Linked DNA regions of Rattus norvegicus. The protein of the gene in region 2 binds, or shares a complex with, the protein of the main gene of each other region. Links are inferred from orthologs where the notes say so. Each region holds a gene or a part of one and is shown on either strand. Other genes may lie near its edges.

What was found.
Region 1: Exosc7 (region 2) and Exosc5 share a complex: the UniProt entries of both Homo sapiens proteins name them as parts of the RNA exosome core complex. The link is inferred for Rattus norvegicus from reciprocal best matches to the Homo sapiens genes EXOSC7 and EXOSC5.
Region 3: Exosc7 (region 2) and Exosc6 share a complex: the UniProt entries of both Homo sapiens proteins name them as parts of the RNA exosome core complex. The link is inferred for Rattus norvegicus from reciprocal best matches to the Homo sapiens genes EXOSC7 and EXOSC6.
Region 4: Exosc7 (region 2) and Exosc4 share a complex: the UniProt entries of both Homo sapiens proteins name them as parts of the RNA exosome core complex. The link is inferred for Rattus norvegicus from reciprocal best matches to the Homo sapiens genes EXOSC7 and EXOSC4.
Region 5: Exosc7 (region 2) and Exosc2 share a complex: the UniProt entries of both Homo sapiens proteins name them as parts of the RNA exosome core complex. The link is inferred for Rattus norvegicus from reciprocal best matches to the Homo sapiens genes EXOSC7 and EXOSC2.
Region 6: Exosc7 (region 2) and Exosc3 share a complex: the UniProt entries of both Homo sapiens proteins name them as parts of the RNA exosome core complex. The link is inferred for Rattus norvegicus from reciprocal best matches to the Homo sapiens genes EXOSC7 and EXOSC3.

The regions. Positions count from the first base shown.
Region 1 is NC_086019.1:90,294,625-90,298,708, reverse strand, and holds the start of Exosc5 (exosome complex component RRP46), read right to left. Parts: upstream 2,801-4,084; 5' UTR 2,718-2,800; coding exon 2,570-2,717; intron 1-2,569. Other genes in the region: Bckdha (2-oxoisovalerate dehydrogenase subunit alpha, mitochondrial), read left to right, coding at 3,213-3,320. UniProt on the Homo sapiens protein: Non-catalytic component of the RNA exosome complex which has 3'->5' exoribonuclease activity and participates in a multitude of cellular RNA processing and degradation events.
Region 2 is NC_086026.1:131,654,063-131,657,562, reverse strand, and holds part of Exosc7 (exosome complex component RRP42), read right to left. Parts: intron 629-3,500; coding exon 527-628; intron 279-526; coding exon 184-278; intron 1-183. UniProt on the Homo sapiens protein: Non-catalytic component of the RNA exosome complex which has 3'->5' exoribonuclease activity and participates in a multitude of cellular RNA processing and degradation events.
Region 3 is NC_086037.1:55,930,247-55,933,437, reverse strand, and holds Exosc6 (exosome complex component MTR3), read right to left. Parts: upstream 1,916-3,191; 5' UTR 1,884-1,915; coding exon 1,065-1,883; 3' UTR 501-1,064; downstream 1-500. UniProt on the Homo sapiens protein: Non-catalytic component of the RNA exosome complex which has 3'->5' exoribonuclease activity and participates in a multitude of cellular RNA processing and degradation events.
Region 4 is NC_086025.1:109,927,131-109,931,290, forward strand, and holds Exosc4 (exosome complex component RRP41), read left to right. Parts: upstream 1-1,360; 5' UTR 1,361-1,398; coding exon 1,399-1,569; intron 1,570-3,106; coding exon 3,107-3,313; intron 3,314-3,413; coding exon 3,414-3,773; 3' UTR 3,774-4,103; downstream 4,104-4,160. UniProt on the Homo sapiens protein: Non-catalytic component of the RNA exosome complex which has 3'->5' exoribonuclease activity and participates in a multitude of cellular RNA processing and degradation events.
Region 5 is NC_086021.1:35,359,474-35,363,465, reverse strand, and holds the start of Exosc2 (exosome complex component RRP4), read right to left. Parts: upstream 2,801-3,992; 5' UTR 2,781-2,800; coding exon 2,659-2,780; intron 1,426-2,658; coding exon 1,324-1,425; exon of another isoform or gene 1,312-1,323; intron 1-1,311. UniProt on the Homo sapiens protein: Non-catalytic component of the RNA exosome complex which has 3'->5' exoribonuclease activity and participates in a multitude of cellular RNA processing and degradation events.
Region 6 is NC_086023.1:64,371,912-64,376,042, reverse strand, and holds the start of Exosc3 (exosome complex component RRP40), read left to right. Parts: upstream 1-1,331; 5' UTR 1,332-1,354; coding exon 1,355-1,699; intron 1,700-2,274; coding exon 2,275-2,424; intron 2,425-4,131. UniProt on the Homo sapiens protein: Non-catalytic component of the RNA exosome complex which has 3'->5' exoribonuclease activity and participates in a multitude of cellular RNA processing and degradation events.

The DNA.
Region 1 (4,084 bases), on a different chromosome or scaffold from region 2:
ACTGGGCCATCTCTCCAGCCCTCCATTGGACTTTCTGCAGTCAGGTTCTGTGTGGTCAAGGCTGGCCTCGCCCATGCTGTGCAGCTGAGTGACCCTGGCACGAGCTGCTCCTCCTGCCTTTATTTATCTCCCTGCTGCTAGGATTAGGGGTTCAGTACCATCGGTTTTGTTTTTGTTGGGTTTTTTTCTTTTTATCAATTTTGCTTGTAAGGTAAGACACTGTGCTGGCTAGTTACTTCCTTTGCTTTGCATTTGGTAAACTCAGCACGAGTTAGCCATACCTGGAAAGAGGAAACTCAACTGAGGCAACTGAGGGACTGCCTCCATCAGAAGGGTCTGTAGGCAAGTCTGCAGGGGAATTCACACACTCCCGGACCCAAGGCATTTCACTGATTAACAACTGATATGGAAGGGTCCCACTCGCTGTGGGCGGCGCTGCTGTTGGGCAGGTGGTCCTGGGTTATAAATGAAAACAGGCTGAGCAAGCCATGAAAGGCAAGGGCTCCTCCATGGTTCAGTTCCTGCTTCAATGGACTTGGGGTATGTAGGCCAAACAAACCTTTTCCTCCACAGGTTGCTTCTGGTCATGGTCCTTATTAGAGCAAGAGGAGCCTAATGAGGTCAGCTATGAAGTAATAGGGTTAGTGTGTCATTTATCACATATACCCATCATTTGCACTGCTCACTGATGCCACGCCCCCTCCCATAGGGTGTTCTTGCAGGAGCCTTTGAGGTCAGATGTGTCTGCAACATTTTTTTAAAAAGATTTATTTATTTATTATATATAAGTACACTGTCGCTGTCTTCAGACACACCAGAAGAGGACATCAAATCCCATTACAGATGGTTGTGAGCCACCATGTGGTTGCTGGGAATTGAACTCAGGACCTCTGGAAGAGCAGTCAGTGCTCTTAACCACTGAGCCATCTCTCCAGCCCCATCTGCAACATTCTTTTTGAAAGTCTGCAAGGTCTCCAATTTGCACCAGGGCCCCGTGGTTTAGAGTTTTAGAACATGGAAGGGTTCCCATTCTATTTCTTATATCTCGAGAGACAGGAGACGCTGAGTTTAGCAAGTGAGCAAAACCAGGAGCCAGCCTGGGATGAGAACACTATTACATCTGCGGGTGCTTTTCCAAGGAAACCCAATGGGACAGGGTCTTAGCGCCAACATCTGCCCTGAAACCAGAAGTGACCCAACTAGACTCAGGTGCTTACTAGAGCTACACAGTAGCTGTTCCTGTTCTGCTGTATAAACTGTGCTCTCGGCAAGCAAAATAGTCTCTTCTTTCCCACCATCTCTACAACGGGGCTACAGAAATTCTCCCCTTTTCAGTCCCTAGGATTTATTTTATTTTTAATTATGTGCATGCATGCTTGTGCAAGCCCCCCCTCTCTTTCTCTGTGTGTGTGTGTGTGTGTGTGTGTGTGTGTGTGTGTGTGTGTGTGTCCCTGCATGCAGAGGCTTCTAATCCCCTAGCTCCTGAGTTACAAGTGCTTGACAGCCTCCTGAATAGATGTTGGGAACTGAACTTTGTCCTCTTCAAGAGCCACAAGTGTTCTTAACCACCAAACCATCTCTCCAGTTCCCGGTTGTCTCCCTTTTTTTTTCTCCCCAAGACAGGGTTTCCTGGAACTCCTCTCCACAAACCAGGCTGGCCTCGAACTCATAGAGACCCTGCCTCTGTTTCCCAAGTGTTGTGACTAAAGGTGTTATTTCTTTTCTTAAGCTCCTGTCAGTCTTCAACTCTTGTCCCATCTACCAGATCCCTTCCCAGGAAAATGCCTGAACAGTTGTCTTAACTGTCCTTTCTTGCTCTCTCTGACCCACCACTACCCCACACTAACTTACTAGCCATAAAGTGATCAGCTCTTAATATCTCAAACACAACTCCCCATTGTCAACTCCATCTTTGTCCTCTTCATTTGTCTACTCTGGTAGTTTTTTACCCTCCCATGACCTCTCAAAGTTGGTTGGCTGGACTGGGATACAGGGTTATGTGGGCCTCAGCCTCGAGATCTCTCTTTTCTTTCTATTCATTTACCCTGATGAGACGTGTATACCAAGGAAAGGCATGTTTTCTCAAATGATGGGACCAGAGAAGGGGAGCTACTTGTTAGCCCAGGATGGGAGGATCACGTTCAATTTTCAGAGCATTTACTTAGGTATATCACCTGCCACAGTAATTATATTTAAACCAGTAGTGGTGATGTGTCTGTCTCAAAGGGTATTTATGCAAATAAACACCTTAGCCTCAACCGATGATGTATGGATCCAGAAGTGTTTTTTAAGAAATCTAGTCAAGGATAATATTTGCCTTGGTGAAACACCTATTCTGGAATATTCACTCTTAGGAGAGGGGTCTTGCCCTGGATTTCTTCCAAGAGGTATTGACCAGCCTGGCCAAATCATTTCTTCTCGAGTCGGGAGGTGGGTATACGCAATATCTAGAAATAAATTCTCCAAGGAGGTGGGCGTACTTGGTTGCACACTACACAGTAACCGCTCTTCAAAAACCCTTCTTCGGTGAGGATGGCGCGCGCTGAGTTAAACCTTGTTAAAGTCGTACCTTGCAGAAAAGAAGCAGATCCATCCGGCCGGGACAGCAGGTTTTGCTCACAAGCAAAGTGCCGGAGGCTGCAGACTGGACTTCGAGGGCTGGACTCTGTTCCGGTGTCAGTGAGTACCTTGGCGTCTGCACGCTTTGCTCCCTCCATAGCCGCTGACCACGCGCGCTGGGGCTCCTACCGTAGCTTCCGCTCAGCCGCACGCGCAGTTCTACCGGCCGTGTACCTACCGCGCAAGCGCCAATCTAGGGCACTCCCGAAGTGGCCCTAGCACGTGGCTCGGCGTTTACTAACAATCTGGTCCTGCCCACCTCCACCTCCCAATTCTGGCAAAGCCATTGGAGAATAGGGAATAAGGGGCAGGACTTGGACTAGGCCCATTTTGCCCAAGGCCCCGGGCCCTGAACCCTGGAGGTTCAAGTGAGGTTGTCCTTTTTATTGCCTGATATTGGAACAACTCCAAGCAGACGACTGGAGCAATTTTAAAGAATAAAAATGGTCAACTTACTTATTTCTACGTCTTTGTTGCTAGGCGGTTGGAAGAAAATAGTGCGTTGGCCTAGTGGTGCTGAGATTTGAATAAGGCATCTGATGGGACAGACGCATGTCTATCTCCTGAGAAAGGAGGAGTGGTTACTAGCCAAGATGGCGGTAGCGATGTCCGCGGCCAAGATCTGGAGGCCGAGCCGTGGCCTGCGCCAGGCTGCCCTCTTGCTGTTGGGGCGACCTGGGGCTCGGGGCTTGGCTAGATTCGTGAGTACCTGGCCCCCACAGTGTCTTTCTTGGGGAGAAATAGAGACGTAACTGTTATTGTTACAGTGTGCGTGGGGCACCGCGGGCTGTGAAGGAAGAGCAGATTCAGAAAGAAAAGGACCGGGAAACTTTTTGAAGAGAAATTCAAGGGAAGGCTCCCTTTAGAGCAAAAGCAAGGCAGCTACTTGCGGGCTTCGATGGAAGGAGACGAGTAAGGGATGAGACGGGGGTTGAAAGGACAGATCAGGTTTTCATAGGGTTCTACATTACTTAAATTCCAATTGTAAAGGGAGTCGAGCAAGAAACTCGTTTGTTTCCTATGTCCCCTGACCAAAATTCAAGGCGAGGGACTTTTCCATGACTGTCATTTACAGAAGATGATCATGAAGGGAGACAGAGCGAGAAGTTCAAACAGGACCCTTTGCCCACGTTATTTTTTTTTTTGAGACAGGATCTCACCCACTCATCTGGGATGGCCTTTAGCTCACCCAGATGCTTAGATAGGTATCCGAACTGGAGATAGTCCTGTCCCAGTCTCCCAAGTCCTGATATTACAGATGTGCGCTACGGTGCTTGGCTGCCCACTTTTCTTGAAAACACTCGAGAAAACTCGGAATCTCTTTTGATCTATTGTTGATAAGGGCAGGATAACACTTCCAAATGCTGTTGCGATCTGGCGATGTACCACAGTGCAGAATGCTTGCCTCACACTTGCCACGTCCAGAATTTGGCTCCTAGCCCCGCGCTTTTTGTTTATCTGGATA
Region 2 (3,500 bases):
AAGAAAAATGAGTGACTAAACGAACATGACAGGGTTCGCTTTCTGAATCTTTCTTAGGGGATGTATGTGTGGGTGGGAAGCAGGGACTGAATCCACTGCCTCCTACATGCTATGCAAACACTCTACCCCCAAGTGACATCCCAAGGATTCCTTTTCCTTTCAAACCACCTGCACAGTACTGACCAGTCAACAAAGAACTCCAGGTAGCCTTCGCTTGGTCTCTCCAGCTTCGGTGTCCCCATCTCTGCTTTCACTCCCACCAAGATGTCTGTATGACCCTGCAGACACATCCAAGAGTCCTTGCTCAGGAACAACACATTCCTCTTCAAGACAGTTCTGTTGTTTCAGCTTAGAATATGGTATTCTAAGATGAGGAGTGCTTTGGGTCTGGAGAGATATATTCTCCCATTATGGCTTAGGGACTTTGGTCTCCTCAGGACCAATGTGCACTCCCTCCCCCAAGACAGCAGGGCCTGTAACTGACCCATTTCTCCACCTGGGTATGAACAGTGACAACAGAACTCACCAGCTTGACTCTGGCAGACCCACTGGTGTTAGACACCACATCAGTCTCTACTTCAACACATCGGTAGTCCTCACAGCCACGGCCATCCACCCGAAGGTCTTCCTAAAGAAACAAGGTTCAGGTTGTGATCCCAAATTCACAGACTCCCTTCCAGAAATACATAACCTTCTTTTCTCTCAGTGGTTCACCAAATTTTGTTCTCACACTACTAACAATACTACAAGCCTAATATAAGGAAGAGACTCAGAAGTGACTTATCCTAATGATGAGAAATCTATGGTTTCATGTCAGATGTGCCTGACTACAAAGGCCCGGCATGTTTGGATGTACAGAATACACACACTAAAGCAAGCAAAATGGAGGCACAGACAGACAGACAGACAGACAGACACACACACACACACACACACACACACACACACACACACACACACACACACGGCTATGCTCTGCTAGAGCTACAGACACAACTGTCTTAACCCGAGTCCTGTTTACCCCAATTTCGATCTACCAGACCTGTTACATACAATCTAAAATATTTAACCTTCTAAAATAGTCCACAAACTAATGCACGTGAGCTACTTGTTTCTGTAATTAGGCGGTAACACAGCCATGCCTGTTCCTGTAAGTACTATGAATGCTTTTCCCACATTTGCTGAAGGGAAATACACATGCTCCCACCTGGCCCTTTACAGGACAGTGTTGTATGAGATAGTTTCCAGGATAGCTACAGGCTGCCTGTCTCTTCTGTCCCACTGTTTTCTTATAACAGCACAACTCATAGATATCTATTTTATGTTGTGCTATAATCTGATATTTGTTTCACCCAGGCCATTGGTTAGTTTTCCCTGCCCTTCCCCAAGGAGCCCTGGTTCCTCTTACTGGCAATATAGTATTCAAAAACCAGGATATGGGTGCTAAATTTGCTGTAGAATTCTAGACCATCTCAGCAACAGAACTAGAAAGAATATAAACTAACATCAGGTCCTCATTTAGTTCCCCATCTATCAAGAAGCCAGGAGTTCATACTAATAGCTCACTTCCCACTTCATGTTCATGGTTCATTCCGGCCTTTTTTTTTTTTTTATTTGTAACTTTTTTTCTCTGAATCTCAGTACCAAATCTCTAGAGGCGGAGGTAGGGAGAAACCTGGCTGTCGTTATCTATCCCATAATTCCATATATCTTTTTCCTCAGTATATACATTGTTTCGGGGCTAACCATTCTCCCCAGAGAAATAAACTTTGCAGTAGAGTACAATTGGATACAATGTTCTCAGTTTTCTTCTCACCCTTCCACAGTATTCATTTGTAACCTAGACTCACTTGCAACTCTTTATATTCCAGTTTCACCAAATCCTGGTTACTTTTAATTTCTTACTTATTTACTTTTCCAGGTTTAATGGAATATCACTGTGGTTCTACCAGTCAAACAGCTCTGAGTAACAACCTTTCCCTTTACCTAACTATGTTCTTTCCACACCCCCAACCCCTTACCCCCACTTCTTTCTCATCTACCCTTGGCCAACAATGGGTCTCTTATTGAAATCCAGTTTCTCTTGTATTTTCTCTGTTCAAACGAGCAGATTTTTTTTTTACACTCTCCTTTTAAATTAAGCATTATTATAAGAAGCACACATTTGTCTAAACCTGGCATTTGGATGCCTCTATTTAAACAACTTAGATTTCTTGTGATAATGATCTAGTTTTAGGGAGAGGGGGTAATAGTCCTCTGTACTTACATGAAGGGTGGCATATCATTTTACATTTACTTTATGTATGAGTGTTTTGCCTGCCTGTAAGTATGTGTATCTCATGTACGCCTGGGTACCCATGGATGTCAGAGGCAGCATTGGATTACTGGAAGTGGAGCTACATATGGTTGTGAGCAGCTGTGGGTGCTGGGAACTTAACCTGAGTTCACTGAAAGAGGAGGAAGTACCTTGTCATCTTTCTAGCCCCTTACACATTCAGTTTTACACTTTTCTTTCCTCAAACACTTAGCAAGCTGATACACAATGCATACAATAAAACACCCCAAGCCATCTCGCTAAGATCTTCCTCATTCTTCATAAATAACCCCTGAAAGCATTTTTTAAAATTAGATTTATTCATTTTATTTTATGCATGTTTGTGCACCGTATATGCATTTGATGCTAGAGGGGTTCAGAAACCGGCGTCAGATCTCCTGGAACTGGAGTAATGGATGGTTGTGAGCCACCAAGCCAGTATTGGAAACAGCTCTGCAAGAGTGACAAGTTGTGGTTTGCCCTGGAGTTATCTGTATTTTGATGCTAATTCCACTGCCCCAAGGACAGCTGCCTAGTCACATACTCAGGAATCAGGTGACTTCACCAGAACCTTTTCCCCATAGAATTTGTAAGGTACAGGTGAGGGGCAGGTACAGGATAGAAGGAGGCCTATCATTGGAGGAGAAGGAAGAATGGGCGGGAGAGAAGTTTGAAGGAAGAGGAGGAGACTGGGACAGAGAAGAAGAGACAGGAGACAGGAGACAGGAGGAGAGAGGGGAGAAGCCATGACAGGTGATGTTAAGATTCTGCTCTGTGTATTTACAGGTTATCAATGTTCCTAAGGGATGGATGGTACCGGGCTTTGTGTGTTCAAGTGGGCAATTATATCTTACCAATTGGGCCAAAGATTATTGTGTTGTGTGTTCTTTTATGTGAGGGTTTGAGTGTAGGAAAGTGTGCAACTGGGATGTGTTTCCGCCAAGATACCTAGCAGATGTCTGGGGCACCGAGGTGCGGACCAAGTGTGGAAAAAGACAACCGTTACTTTTTTATTTTTATATTTATACAACAACAGTGACAGGTACCCTTAATCACTGAGACATCTCTCCAACCCACTTTTCCTTCCTTCCTTTCTTAAACAAACAAACAAACAAACAAACAAATAAACAAGGGGCTGGAGAGATGTCCCGGTGATTAAGAACTAACTGGACTTCAGTTGGATTCC
Region 3 (3,191 bases), on a different chromosome or scaffold from region 2:
TCCTCCACTTCAGCCTGTGAAGAACAGGATAAGTCCCTATACTGGTCAGTCAGGCCTGCTCTGCCTTAATAGCCAGGCTGTAAATGATACCACAGTATTAGGCGGTCTGCATTTTAGTAGACCATTGCTGCCCAGACCCTTGTTCCCAGGAGCCAAGCCTGGACAGGCACCAGGATGGGACCCGGCTTCTTTCCAGAGCATAATCCTTTTCAGTTACCTAACTCCTAGACATGGTTTTGTCCTAAAGGAAAGGACAGGGGTGCATCCAGGCTTCTCCTTTGAACTCTCCCCAGACTTTTCCAGACGGGAGTTTCTCTGTGTAGCTCTGGCTGTCCTGAAATCTGCTCAGTCTTATCCCCTCGGCAGCTGCCCTAGACAATGCTCCCGGGGCAGCTGGTTTCTCCTCCAAAGCACATAACCCTTTCTTTCTTACAGCGGGCTAACAGGAATACTTAAGGCAGTAATGACTTGGACCCTTGACAACACACAATCAACACACACCCATTTCTGAACAGCATTGTTTTTAACTCAAGAAAAATCACAACACATGTTATTTCCAGGCATAAAAATGTTTTTATGTTTTACTTCGAGTAGTGAGAAGGCAAAGTCCCCTTGTCCATCCTCTCAAAAGAAAAGAATTGGGGTTGGGGATTTAGCTCAGTGGTAGAGTGCTTGCCTAGCAAGCGCAAGGCCCTGGGTTCGGTCCCCAACTCAGAAAAAAAAAAAAAAAAAAAAAAAAGAATTATATTGGAGCTGCCGGCTGGCCTGCACAGGGTCCATCCCTTACAAGGCCATAGCCCCAGGTCTCATTTACTAAGTAAATCCAGCCCAAGTCCTTTCCAACTTAGGAATATGGCTGCTTTCAAATTTCTCCAACTGGATCGTGTTTCCAACGGCCTTTTAAACTTCTTTCCAACGCAGCTGTGCAGAGCTTTGGTTCTGTGCGCACCACTCCCCCACTCTCCTGTCTCAGCTCAGCGAAATCGGGCAACCATCAGCGCTGGTCCTTTTGGGAGAAAAGGGCGATAGCAGTCCTCCGCATCCTCGTCGCTCAAGTTTTCCAATCAGGGCGGGGCGGCGGCACCCCTCCGGCGGGCAGCCCTCACCAAGCACTGCTGCAACACCGGGTAGAGGCGCTGGCAGCCTTCCAGGCCCAGGCGCACCGCATCGGTCCAACTCTCAGTCTGGCCGCCTTCCCCACTGCCCAATAACCCGGCCACCTGATTGAGCACGGGCATGAGCGCCACCGTGAGGCCGGCCTCAGAATGCTCCTCCTCCAGTCGCGTGGGGTCCAGCAGCCAAGTCGGGGAGGGCCCCGGTGTGAGGCTCAAGCCGCAGCCCACTACCAGATCGTACATCTCCACTCCCGCGTCGGCCAGGGCGAGCGCAGCAGCGGTGAGGGCCGCGGCCAGCGCAGAGCCGCCGTCCTCCAGCAGCAGCGCGGACACCTCGAGTTGAGCACGAGGGTAGCGTCCTAAGCGCACAGCGGGCTCCAGAGCCTCCTGCAGAGCCAGACCCAGCTCACGATCCTCGCTGCTGCCCTGGGGCGCGCGACGCCGGCGACCGGAGAAGGGCGCGCGACGGAAATCGCAGAGCAAGCGACCCCGGAGAGCAGCCGGAGCTTCACCGCCCGCTCCGGCGGGACCGCCGCCGCGCTCACCGCCCTCGGCCTGCCGCGGACCGGACACGGCGCACAGCACCTTGGTACCTCCCGCTTCCAGGTAGGCTGAGCCCTTAGCCTGGCTCAGCAGCCCTGCGCGGGCGTACACCGGTCGTAGGCGCGTCGGGTCGCGAGCAGCGGGCGTCTCGTCTTCTTCGGCCGCGTACAGCTGCGGCGGCTGGGACTCCTCTGGCCCTCGGATGCGGCGGTGGTCTCCCGGCATGGCGGCTACCGGCGTACGAGCTACTTCCGCCTGCCAGGATGCCTTGCGCACCGGCTCTTCCGCTCGCTTAAAGATACGCGCCCGCGCGGAGCCTATCGGGAGAGCGGTAGGTTTCCGCATTGCCACCTAGCGGAATGGAGGAAGAACGGCGAGGTATTGGCTGGACCTGTGGTTCCATAGGACCTGATCTACTGTCATTCCTTGAATTTTGCATTCAGATTGTTTTATATAAGCTTGCCCTAGGTAAGAACTTTTTGTTCGGGCTGAAGAGATGGCTCAGCGGTTAAGAGCACTGACTGCTCTTCCAGAGGTCCTGAGTTCAATTCAGCAACCACATGGTGGCTCACAACCATCTGTAATGAGATCTGATGCCCTCTTCTGTGTGTCTGAGTACAGGATACTCATGTACATGAAATAAATAAATTAATTAAAAAAAAAAAAGAACTTTTTGTTCATTCCTGTAGTTAGTCCCCTGGCTTGCTTCAACACTTGTTTAATAAATGGACGTTATCTCTCTTCCTACAACTGAATAATAATTCTAACACTCTGAGATCTGTCATAAGCAAGCAGTATCTCAGCTTCCAGACCCTGCTGTTTGTAGATTCATATAAATTGCATTTTAGGGCCGAGCCAGGGTCTTGAACCTATTTCAGGTTAAAGAAGCAGGGATGGGGCAGTTACTAGAAGACATCTCTACATTCATACCTCCTACATTAGTTGTCTGACCTCATATCAGCAGCTTCAAGGGGAGGCACGTTGAACACACATGATGAAAGCCATTATGAGGTTGTCCCAAGAGACTAAGAATGGTGCTTCTTCATGTGAAGCAATTCAGAAGAATTTTCCTCCACCCCTTTTACTGAATGCCTCAATTTCAGCCCACCCATTCTGCCTCTAGCTCTGCTCTCCCAGGGGCCGTTCCTCAAGTTCAGGAGTCTGAGGCTGTACTCTGTGATAACATCAATCAGAAACCAGCCAGAACCACACACAGCCTGTATTCTGCATGTATAGGGAGCTGAGGTCAACCTCAGGAGAAAGGAGAGCGTGGTATCATCTAGTATTGCACATGGTCCTTTATTTTCTGCAGTGGAAGGCTTCCTTCCCACTTGCAGACCTAGAAGCCTCAGGTTGGCAGAGTGACCTCATCTAGACGTGATCAGGATGTTAGGTAGCATTCCTGGGTAGTGACTTTAGACAGATGGCGCTGACATTATGGCTCAGAGCAGAATGGAAAGGGGCAATGAATCACAGGACAGCTCCAGGCGCGTTCCAGTTACTGCTGGATCAGGACGGAGGGCTGCTGAAAGG
Region 4 (4,160 bases), on a different chromosome or scaffold from region 2:
GTCCCCAGCTCCGAAAAAAAGAACAAAAAAAACAAAAAAACAAAAAAAAAAAAACACCACAAACAAACCACCACAAAATTATTTATTCTGGGTGAGAAAATAAGACAACATACTCAGAATCAAGACTCACAAGCCCTCCACAATGAATAGCATTCCTTAATTATCTGCTCCTACAATACACAGGGTTGTTAAAGAGGACTCAGTGGGACTATAATCTGCTCTATCTACCCCACAGGTATGAAGCAAACAATAAAAATATACCTCCAAGCTAGGTGTCACGGTCCCACCTATAATCATTATAAGAGCACTAGGGAGGCTCTGGTAGGAAGATTGCTAGTTTGAGGCCAACCTGAAATACATATCAAGATTTTCAAAAAGCAACAGCAACCAGGTGATATCGCACATGCCTCAGATCCCAGCACTCTGGGCAGAGATAGGCAGATCTGTGATCTCAAGGCCAGCATGGTTTACAGAAGGAGTTCCAGGACAACAAAGGCTACAAAAAGAAACCCTGTCTCCAAAAACAAGCAAACCAAACAACAGCAAAAAAGGGCCCATCACCAACAAACACAACAAAATCTCAGGACTATGTATTTCATATTCTGAGTGAAAACACTCCCAAATGTATACTAAGTGACCGAATCTTTAAAAATAATCAGAACTCCAAAACCTACTATACAGGTGCATATAGACAACCGCAGGCGCTTTGTGCTTGCATCCAGGCTATAGAGAAAACTTACTGGCCAAGGTAAGGGAGGGAAACTTATGGATTTAACCAAGCAAATGAAAAAGAAAAAAGAAAAACTAAACTAATACTGAGCCACAAAGATAATAATCACGTGTATGTGGAACAAAAAATTGTGCTTGGCTAAACTGACCACTGTAAAAACCACACGGACGAAAGACGAAAAAAAGAGAAGGACCAGATTCCAGCACTCACAGTGGCTGCCCCCTTCTAACCTCCGCAGCACTGAGCACACACGTGACGAAAAGACATACAAGCAGGTATGCTTGTTCAATACATTCGTACAATAAAAATAGATATACAGTTTTTTAAAGGGCCAAAAAAAAATAGTCTCCGCTGGGACCAGCGCCTCCGACAAACCGAGGACGTCCGGAAAGAGAAGTTTGTCTTCAAGGCGTACCTACTTCAACAACCGAGGAGAAGCTGCAAAAACCAGCTCGGCTCGGGCCTTTGATTTCCCGGAACCGAACGACGTGACTCGTACATTCAGCAGGCCGGGGAAGCTACGAGCCTTGCACCGGAAAGGGACTAGTTTACCGGAAGTTATAGCTCTCCGAGACTGAAAAGGAAACGGACCGGCGGAAGTCGTAGTCGCGGAAGCCCAGGTCATCTAAGGGGTCGTGCTCTCGGAGGCGGAGCGAGGACTGCGCAACATGGCCGGGCTGGAGCTCCTGTCCGATCAGGGTTACCGGATAGACGGTCGCCGCGCGGGGGAGCTGCGCAAGATTCAGGCGCGGATGGGCGTGTTTGCGCAGGCCGATGGCTCGGCTTATATCGAGCAGGGCAACACCAAGGCACTGGCGGTGGTCTACGGGCCTCACGAGGCGAGTAAGCGGCAGGGATTGGGGGCTCGTGGCCGCACGACGAGGAAGTAGACCTTACAGCTTAACTCCTCTACCTATGCAGCAGTATACTAAAATCCCATCTTTGAATTTCTGGGGTCCTCCCTGGCAGAAAGCATCTCAACACACGTTGTCCCACCGTGTTGTAGGGGAAATGATGTGCGTGCATCTGCGAGGACCTGGCTTCTTCTGATTTCACCTCACGAGCTCTTTCCCTTGGTTAACTTCCATTTCAATCCTTCCTTTGTGTTACATCCACTAAGCCATGAATATAATTATACCCCGAGTTCTGAGTCCTCTCGGGGAATTGCATCCCTAACATGGCCCTCAAATTTGTATAAGTATTAGGTCCCATGATGAACTGAGAATATTGGTTTCTTTAAGAACCCAGTTATGTTATGTGATTATGTTTTTGTTTTAATCCCACGGGTGGGATATGGGGCTGCTTCAGATTGTCCACAACTACTATGATTGTCTCATGCAGGGACTGGGGGCTCATGGCTGCACATCGTGGGAGTGGACATGAGTCTTACTGCTTAACTCCTCCGTCTCAGTGGGCCTCTTTTCTCCTGGGCTGCCCTCTTCATCTCTGAGGTGCCTCATACATCCTGGCAAAGCTACACTCAGTCCCTGTTCTTTCAGTCCAGTGTTTTGACATCTTGTCCGGAAAAGGCCTCCCAGGCTATTTCTGCCCCTGCTACATCGATTTTCCTCAGTCTTCCATGTCTCTTGTCTCTCTACTGGAATGTAAACTCCCAAGACAGAGACATTATAAATTGCCTGCCTTTGCTGCTTTGTCTCAGTGGTGTAGCAAGGCCGGCAAACATGCACATTTTAAGGGTTTTTTTGTTTGTTTGTTATTTGTTTATTATATATAAGTACACTGTCACTGTCTTTTAGACACACCAGAATGGCATCAGATCCCATTACAGATGGTTGTGAGCCACCATGTGGTCGCTGGGATTTGAACTCAGGACCTCTGGAAGAGCAGTCAGTGCTCTTAACCAATGAGCCCACATTTTAAGGTTTGCTAGCAATTTGCTCAGCTTTCTAGGTGGAAGCCAGGTCAGGTCTAGAACACATTAGGCCAGACTACTGGTAGACCGAGGGACAGTAGATCAAATAAAGTTGAGTGGTTAACCAAGGAGATGAGGACCCAGGGCTTTGAAGGTCGGGGAAATTGAGATTTTCTTTTACATGTAATGAGAAGCTTCTGGAAGGTAAGTAAAATATTAGTGTGTGGGTGACACAGTCAAATCACATGTTTGTAAACATGGTGACCACGATGGGAATGATTTAGGAAGAAATGGAGCAACTAAAGAACAAAGGGGTTTTTTTTGCGGAAGGTGACAGTGGTGCGGCTTAGACCGAAGTGTAGCCCTAAACCGCCTGCCATGGTTTGGAACCAAAGTAGCTGCTGCTTTCTGAAGCACTTTAGAAAGAAGAGGAGGAAGGCTGAGCCATCGAGTGTGACCCAGGAGGTAGGCGGCCCTGGCTCATTCCTTCTTTTTTCCTCCAGATCCGGGGCTCCCGGTCACGGGCTCTGCCTGACCGGGCTCTAGTGAACTGTCAGTACAGTTCAGCAACCTTCAGCACAGGTGAGCGCAAGCGAAGGCCTCATGGAGACCGGAAGTCTTGTGAGATGGGGCTGCAGCTACGCCAGACCTTCGAGGCAGCTATCCTCACACAGCTGCACCCACGTTCTCAGATAGACATTTATGTGCAGGTGAGCCTCAAACCACTCCCCCGGGGGCGGGGCTTAAGGGGATGAGGTCTGCCTGAGATGCTGGAGGATGAGATGTCTGATGTCCTGATGCCCCCTGCAGGTGCTACAAGCAGACGGTGGGACCTATGCAGCATGTGTGAATGCAGCCACGCTAGCAGTGATGGATGCTGGGATACCCATGCGGGACTTTGTGTGTGCATGTTCGGCTGGTTTTGTGGATGGCACAGCACTAGCGGACCTCAGTCACGTGGAGGAAGCAGCTGGCGGGCCCCAGCTAGCCCTGGCCCTGCTGCCAGCCTCTGGCCAGATTGCACTGCTTGAGATGGATTCGAGGTTGCATGAAGACCACTTGGAGCAGGTGCTCGAGGCTGCTGCCCAGGCAGCCCGGGATGTGCACACTCTGCTGGATCGTGTTGTCCGGCAGCATGTGCAGGAGGCCTCTATCTTACTGGGGGACTGAGGCCAACCCCCCATATCCAGAATAAAGGCCTGTTCCTCTCCTGAACACACTGTAATGTACAGCACTTCAAAGCAGCTCAGGGCCCTACATAGCAGTTTGTACTGCAGTCCCTAAGTGGAGAGAACACTTGTGCTAGGAAGAGCAAGAGTGCTCATGCTGTGCCTGCCCAGATATCAGGGTCCACAAAGACCACCAGGGGTCTGGATTTGTATGCAAAAGCAAAGCCTTTATTCACACTTAAGCTTGGACCCTCAGAATCCTCCAAGCATCAGATTTGTGCTGAGACCTTGAACCTCATTTAGGCAAGGTTTTTATACTAGTTTGAGCAGGGAACGGGGGTCTCCAGCATAGCGATTGCCTTACTTAGCAAGGGTTGAGCAGGGAGGG
Region 5 (3,992 bases), on a different chromosome or scaffold from region 2:
CATGCTTAGGCAGAAACCTTGATGCCTGTCACACTCTGGGATAAGCACAGCACAGACCCTGCTGAAGGCACCTCCAAATGTGTGAGGGAAACAAAGACATCCAGACTGGAAACGGGGAACTAAAAATATCTCTATTCCTTCTGTTAGCTTTCCTTAAACACATCAGTTACTGCAACAGCCTTTCAAAGGACACTCTGAAAGCAAGGCATACAGAGGACATAGCCACTGCTGAGGGCCATGCCTGCCATCACTCGGTCATTTCTCAGATGAATACAGTTCCCCAGCCCAGCTCCCTAAACATGCCCTGTCCCCCTTCACTGTCTCCATGGCAACCACAGCAAGTGATGAAGACGTAGGTCAGATCACAGCTCTCTTGCTCTCTTCTGCTTGATCCCTTCCAAGGGCTTCCCAATTGGTACAGTACGAAGCCCAAGTCCTCACTGTCATTGCCAGGCAGGGTGACCACTTGGCTGCCACAGCTCCGGCTTGCCTGACTAATCAGTCCCAGGCTCATTGCTTCCCTTCTGGACGCACCTTTATGGGCTTCTTCTAGGTCCTGGGCCCTGTGTGTAAGTACTTTACTGTAGCAGGTCACTGAATTCCGAATGAACAATCCTGAGTTGGTTACTTTCTTTATGATGTGGAAAAGGAAAGCCCAACGCATGGAGGGATCAAGTGACGTGAGGAAACCTTTGAAGCTCACACCTTCTGTAGTGTCCTAGTTTGCTTTCTGTTGCTGTGATAAATACCACAACCAAAAGCAACTCGAGAAGGAAAGGGTTTATTAGGCCTACAGATTACACTCCATCACGGAGGAGTGCCAGGCAGGAACCTGGAGGCCAGAACTGAGGCAGAGTCTGTGGAGGAACACTACTGGCTGGTTTGCTTCCCAGACTCAGGTTTTTGTTCTCCCCCCCCCCCCACACACACACACAGAGCTGCCCTGGAACTCACAGAGAGCTGCCTGCCTCTGCCTCACAAGTACTAGGATAAAAGGCCTGCAGCACAGTGCCCATCCTTCCACACCCCAGGCCCACTGGTCCAGGGGTGACACTGCCTATATCAATTACCAATGAAGAAAATGCTCCCACAGACATGCCCACAAGCTAATCTGATGGAGACAATTCTTAGCTTTAGGTTTCCGCTCCCAAGGTAACTCCAGCTTTGTGTCAAGTTGGCTGCCGGCACTAACTGTGACAAACAGGCACATTCAACCTAGCAGGCGTGTGACAGGAATGATCCTAGATGACATGGGGAGACGACGGAGAAGGCCTGTGTACAACCCAGATGCTCCGAGAATGACATACACACCTCTGTCCTCACCTGGTTTTCAAGGCTTTGACACAGATCAGCTTGTTCACTCTCTCCACAGAGCCGGCCACTGACGCAATGAGCTTTTCCTCCCCCATGTATGTTCCATGGCCCCTGTGCAAGGACAAGACCACAAAGAAAGGATAGCAGTGTTACACTGGAGGTAACATGGGAGCATCTAGAACATGGTTCTTGAACCTAACAGGCTCCCCCTGCCTCCACAGAGCCATGTGGACATCCCCATCTTAAAAAGTGTGCTCGAGGGGCTGGGGATTTAGCTCAGTGGTAGAGCGCTTACCTAGGAAGCGCAAGGCCCTGGGTTCGGTCCCCAGCTCCGAAAAAAAAGAACAAAGAAAAAAAAAAAAAAAAGTGTGCTCGAATGTCACTTTCCAACAACAGAACTGCACATCCCAGGCAACACAGGGATCCCCACTGGTCCACCCCATTGCCAACTACACCCCTCTTCTCCCCCTTCGTCTGCATTTACGACGTTCTTGTGGCATTTACTGTTATTGTTCCTTGCTAGATGATAAACCCCGCCTTTGGTACCCCAACCACAGGGACTATGTTGAACTTATGCTGCAAGTATGAAGAAATGAATCCTAAGATACCTGTCATCTAATACTTTAAACATAAAGTCTAGAGGCAATGCTATAAACACCATAATCTCATTTGTACCAGAAAGAAAAAACAACCAGGTTTTTTCAGGCCACTGCTGAAATTTTGCTTCCTGCCCCCACTTTTCAGTTGCTTAATACTCCCGATTCTACCAATTCCTGTTGTCACCACCGTCTTCCAGGTGAGGGTACCGGCCTTAGCTAGGTGCTACAGCTAAGGAGAGCACGACTCCAGAGCAGGCCCAAAGTACCACAAGTTCCGATAGCCTGCTAAGTTTGTATTATTGGGTGCATCTATGCACAGTATGTACTGAATGCTTACCTCAACCCCCACCCCACGAAAATCACTGCTTCAAAGTCAGGCTCGTCGCTGAGGTAACACTGAAAGAAACGACCAAGCCAGCAACCCACTGTCTCTTCAGAGGGTTGTAAGAAGGGTCCTGCTCCCAGCCCTCCCCAGGAAAGCTCAAAAATCTTGAGTTTCAGGATAAGGGTTCAAAAGTTCCTGACACCATAGATTAAAGGAGAAATCAGGAACTGACAGAGGAGCACCCAAGATGCAGGAAGTCAGAAGCATGAGGCTCGGAAAGGAGGATGCTCTGAGGTGTCCCAGGTATTCGGTGACTTAGATACAAGGGGACAGGAGGCCTGGGTTCCCGGGCAGCGGGCCACGTGCAGAGAGCTCTGCAGCCGTCTCCTGAGGCCTTGGGACCCCCAAATCCTCACGTACCGCATGAAGCCTGTATCCGTGGTGATCGTGTCCCCTGGCACTACCAAATGTTTTTTAGAATCGCGGCCCAAGCTCTCACTGAGAGGTTTGCGAGCCCTAGGGAGCCTCATCTCCAACGCCATCTTGGCGCCAATGACTTGCGCAGGCGCAGCTCCACACAGTCGCCTCAATTCCCGCCCACCTTCAGAGAAGCGACCAATGGAATGTATAGTGTGGCGGCCATGTTGACTATTGGCAACTATTAAGTTAACTCGAAGAAAAGAGGGTACCAAGCTGCCATGTTTACTATTGGCAAGAAAGCACCCGCGGAAAGACGTTGTAAGGGAATATGACTTGTAAGGGAATTGGTTTGGTTTGGCGTTTGTATTTGAGAAAAGGTCCCGTGTATGGCTGGACACAAACTGTACAGTTGAGAATAACCCTGCTGAACTCCAGAGATTCATGCCTCCACCTCCCAAACGCTCCGATTACATGAGTTTGAGTAGGTTGTGGTTTTGGTGGTGGTGCGAATGGTGCTTTTCGCATCTGATTGGTTTGTTGTTTTATGTGTATAAGCGTTTTTCCTGCGTTTGTCTCCGTACACTCCAGTGTCTGATGCCCACAGAGGCCAAAAGAGGTTGTTGGAGCACCTGGAACTGGAATTACAGATGTTTGTGATCCGCCATGTGGGTGCTGGGAATCGAAACCAAGTCCTCTGGAAATGCAGCCAGTGCTCTCCACCTCTGAACCCAGCCCAGGTGTAAAATTTTTTTTTTTTTAAGTTTTTTTTTTCTTTTTTCTTTTTTTTCGGAGCTGGGGACCGAACCCAGGGCCTTGTGCTTGCTAGGCAAGCGCTCTACCACTGAGCTAAATCCCCAGCCCCGTGTAAAATTTTTTAAAGATAGTGTCTCATGTCATCCAGGTTGGTCTCAAACTGGCTGTGTAACCCAGGATGCCCTTGAACTCCTCTTCCTCTATCTCCCAAGAGCTGGGATTACAGGCGTAAACCGCCATGCTCAGTTGTATGAGTTTTTACCCAAACTATCCAATTTCATCATTTTATTTATTGTTGGTCAAGTCTAGAGATTGAGAAGTGAACCTTGAGTTTGCCATCCAACTCTAAACCACTATCTGAGCAGAAGATAGTGAATACTGTTCCTAGGGGGCCTTGTATTCTACAGTGGAGTTGACCCTTAGGTGCTGGTCTGGATCCTCACCTAGTGCTCCTATGGCTTTAGTGTGCTTTAGTAAAGACCTCTTCTGAAAGACGACTGTTGTAAAAGCCAGCCACAGGTGACGAGCAAATCCGTAGTGAGATACAAATGTAACTTTTATTCTCCTGTTGCAGTTGTTGC
Region 6 (4,131 bases), on a different chromosome or scaffold from region 2:
ATTCTGGTTTCCCTAGTACTATCTGTAAGCATGAACCCTCCTACCCTCTCCAAACCCCACGCAGCCTTTCTTTGAAGCTGCCAAGCTTGTATCAAGTTAGGAGGTTGGGGAAGAAGTTAGCCATCTTGAAAACTCAATACTTATTACCTAGCCATGGCCCCTCTCCTGTCTGCCTGTATGTCAGTTGTCCTTACTATATCCAGGGATTAAATGGTTTGCCAGCAACTTGCCAGATTTGGAGGAAGTTTGATGCCCCTTCCCTAAAAATTTAGAAACTTAGTTGACAGCAGAGCAATCTGACGTCAGTCAATGTCAAGGCCCTCAGTGCTGCTGGAGAACAATCAAACACTCATTGAAGATGCCTACAGAAAAAAGCTGGTTTCACAGATAAGAACCCCAAAGCCAGAAAACTGGAAGTTCTTAAATTCTTGCATTGTGGGTTTGGGATTTAACAGTTTCTCACATAGCCGTTAGTGTGCTCCCAAAGAACTAACTAGCTGCAAGAATTGATCTGAGTTACCGATATTCCCAAGCCATGTAGGGATGAACTTATACTGGTGAAAAAGTGTGATGTGTGTTGGAGAAGGTGGGAGAAATACACCTAAAAATTGTTACAAGTAGTAGGTACCTTGAGCTACAAATGATCTGAAGTATAGCTAACAGCACAGCAAGGGCGACAGATAGGCACTGTAACTATTGTTCTTTGTATTTTACACAATGTAAATTGGTAGCAACAACCAAACAAGTTATATTTTGAAAAAAAATTTTTTTTTCTGGTTAAAAGCTGAGCTATCGGGCTGGAGAGATGGCTCAGCAGTTAAGAGCACTGACTCCTCTGGTCCTGAGTTCAATTCCCAGCAACCACATGGTGGCTCATAACCATCTGTAACAGGATCAGGCGATGCCCTCTTCTAATGTGTGTGTACTCACATAAAATAAATCTTAACAAACAAACAAACAAACAAACAAACAAACAAACATACAAACAGCTGAGCCACCTTTCTGTAGGCAGAGTAGAAAGGTAAGGCCTCCAAACTAGCCACTATTCAGTTCCCAGTGGCACTCAATTCCAGCGTCCCTTGATTGTTAAGTCGAAAGATGAGACTCGGAAGTGAGGGCTCACAGATGGACTCTACCCGGGGAGATTACAAGATGGGTGGGTCGCTAACTACACACACAGTCACTCGGAGGAGGAGTACCCATGAGCTGAAGCGACTAGCTCCAAAGCTAAAGTCTAATTCAGAAAAATCTCACAACCACCGAAAAGGGATAACCCAGGTGGACGGGTAGTGGATGCGGAAGCGGAAGCGGAAGCGGAAGTAGACTACCGGAAGTTGCAATGGTGATGCCTGCCATGGCTGAAGTGTCCGCTGGGGCTGAGTCTGTGGCGGGCTGCCGAGCACGGGCAGTGCACAAGGTGCTAAATCAGGTGGTTCTCCCTGGGGAGGAGCTGGTGCTGCCGGACCACGAGGACGCAGACGGCCTTGGGGGCCCCGGGGAGCAGCCGTTACGCCTGAATGCGGGAGCGCGCCCGAGGCTGCGCATAGTATGCGGCCCGGGTTTGCGACGCTGCGGGGACCGTCTGCTGGTCACTAAGTGTGGCCGCCTGCGTCACAAGGAGCCCAGCGGCGGCGGCGGCGGCGGCGGCGGCGGCGGCGGCGGCGGCGGCGTTTATTGGGTGGACTCGCAGCAGAAGCGGGTAAGCGGATGTCTGAGAGGCGGTGCTGCCCCCAAAGTGGGATCCCTGCAAGTGCGATCATAGGTTAAGGCGAGTCTAGAGCGGCGGTGGCTTCTAGATCTCTCTCTCTCTCTCTCTCTCTCTGCATCTTCTTTAGAGGAACCACAATAGGAACATATCCTGAGAAGGGCGAAAGGAGAGAAAGGTTCCGCGAGTTCTTGTGAAAAACCCAAAGCCATTTGGTGTCCCAGTTGCAATGAGTCCAAATCACAGGGAGTTAAATTTCCCATAGAATAAGAGCTTTCTCTTAGGAATAATGACTAATGGAATGAGTTTCCTTGAATGTAAAGATTCTTGTGCCACCAGACTTATAAAGGATGCCGAAAAATCTTGAAACTTGATTCAAATCAACTGTTGATTTAGACGGTGTAAAGTTTTACTGGTGCGGGCCGGTTTTGTAGTTCCAGCTACCCGGGGAGTAAGTAGTTGGCAGGGTTGGTTGAGACCAACCCTTGGTAACCTCGATGAAAGTTGCCGAAGATATTTTATAGTAGTATTTGTATCATTTATGATTGTTCTTTTATTCTGTTTTGTAGTATGTACCAGTGAAAGGAGACCACGTGATTGGCATAGTAGTCGCTAAGTCTGGCGATATATTCAAAGTTGATGTTGGAGGGAGTGAGCCAGCTTCTTTGTCCTACCTGGCATTTGAAGGGGCAACTAAAAGAAACAGACCAAATGTACAGGTAATGATGGTTTCAACAATAAGAAAAAATGTCCACTCCCTAGAAATTTAACTATCCAGAGGGCTACCTGAATTGTCTTTAAAGCATCAACTATCCCTCCAGTTCTCCAAGGTCGTTTATTAGATTCTCGGTTGCTGCAGCTCCAGAACCATTGCTGTGTATCACGTTAGCAGTCTTGGTTCTTCTCTACCTGGTTGGCAAGTTACATCTGTGTCTTCCTTACCTGTCATGTCCGAATCCACCCAGGACAATGGCCCTAATGTAAGGGCCACCGGCACTATTGTTATCTGTTCATGGTCGCTGTAAATCCTTGGAGCTGACAGAAGAGTTGTCTTGTTTCGACAGGTTGGGCTTTCTGGGTAGTTTAGCCATATCCTTCTGAATACCTGAGCTACAAATGAGATGAGCTCTCTCCTGCTTTTTGTCAGCTCTCGAGGGTCTTTAGTCGCTCAGTCTTATCTGTTCTTCTCTTTATCTTTGCCTGTCAATCCCTTTGTCTCCACAGGGTCAGGTGTCTGCTCCCTTTTGACAGGAGTGGGCAGCAGTCTTGTTGACTTATTAAAAAAATCTTATTAAGAAAAGGATTGTTTAAGTTATAAGGAATCCACTGGCATGGTGCACCTGGGGTCTCCCCTCACAGCTTGTTGCTCCACGTAACTATATTAAGCTTCACAGTGTCACTGGGTTCCCTTCCTTCCCTTGGTCTTTGTTAATGGGGTCCCTCTGTTTGGAGCTGTATCCTCAGCCTATGAGACACCACCCTTGAGGTCCAGGCTGAGTGGGACTGCCTATAAGGTCATCATCTCTTTTCCTGTATATTTACCACAGCCCTGGGTTTATTCTTGATCTGGTTCCTCAGTTTATTCATTCTCACTGCCCTGTGCAAGAGCACATGCTCCAGGAAGGCAGAAAGGGGTTATGTCCCGCCAGGTTTTGTAATCACCCACAACAGTGGGGACTTAAAAAATACTTTTAGAGTATGCATAGGGAAGTGTTTTGTCCACATGTATGTTTCTGCCCAGTGTGTGACAGCTTCTTGTGGAGGTCAGACAGGAAGGTCAGGTCCCCGAAACCTGAGTTATAAACAGTTTCGAGCTGCTATGAGGATGCTAGAAACCAAAGCTGGGTCCTCGGCAAGAGCAGTAAGCACTCCTAACCCATGAGCCATCGCTCCAGCTCAACAGGGAGGATTTTTAATGTTGAATGACGAGAACAGATTTATTGTTTCCTTAGCTTCATTTTAAAGTTCAGTTTTGTAATATTTTAAAGCCAATTTTCCATGAAGTAGTGTCTGAATTACTGCTATCCCATTTTCACATTCCATTGAATATGGGTGTCATGAGTTTTTCCTTCCTCTAGACAAACATAATTGTTAGTACTGATAGAACATTCTCCAGTGATGCTGTTTTTGTTTTTATATCTGCTCTGACTGATGCAGTTACCACTAGTTACATGTGGCTGCTGATGAGCTGAAGAACTGAATTTTATGTAAGTTAAGTAGATATAAAGTTAAATATGAAATTAAGGTAAGCTACATGCAAGTTGAACAGTTCAGTTTTGAAGGCTGTCCTTAGGCCTTGAAATGGCTTCTGGTTGGAGGATTTCATGGGGTGTGAAGGGAGGACTGAATTCTAAGGATCATTAGTCCCTTAGCTTGAGAACTGGGTCACTGGCATTCCTGCCCATGGAAGAGAACCAGCAGCAGCA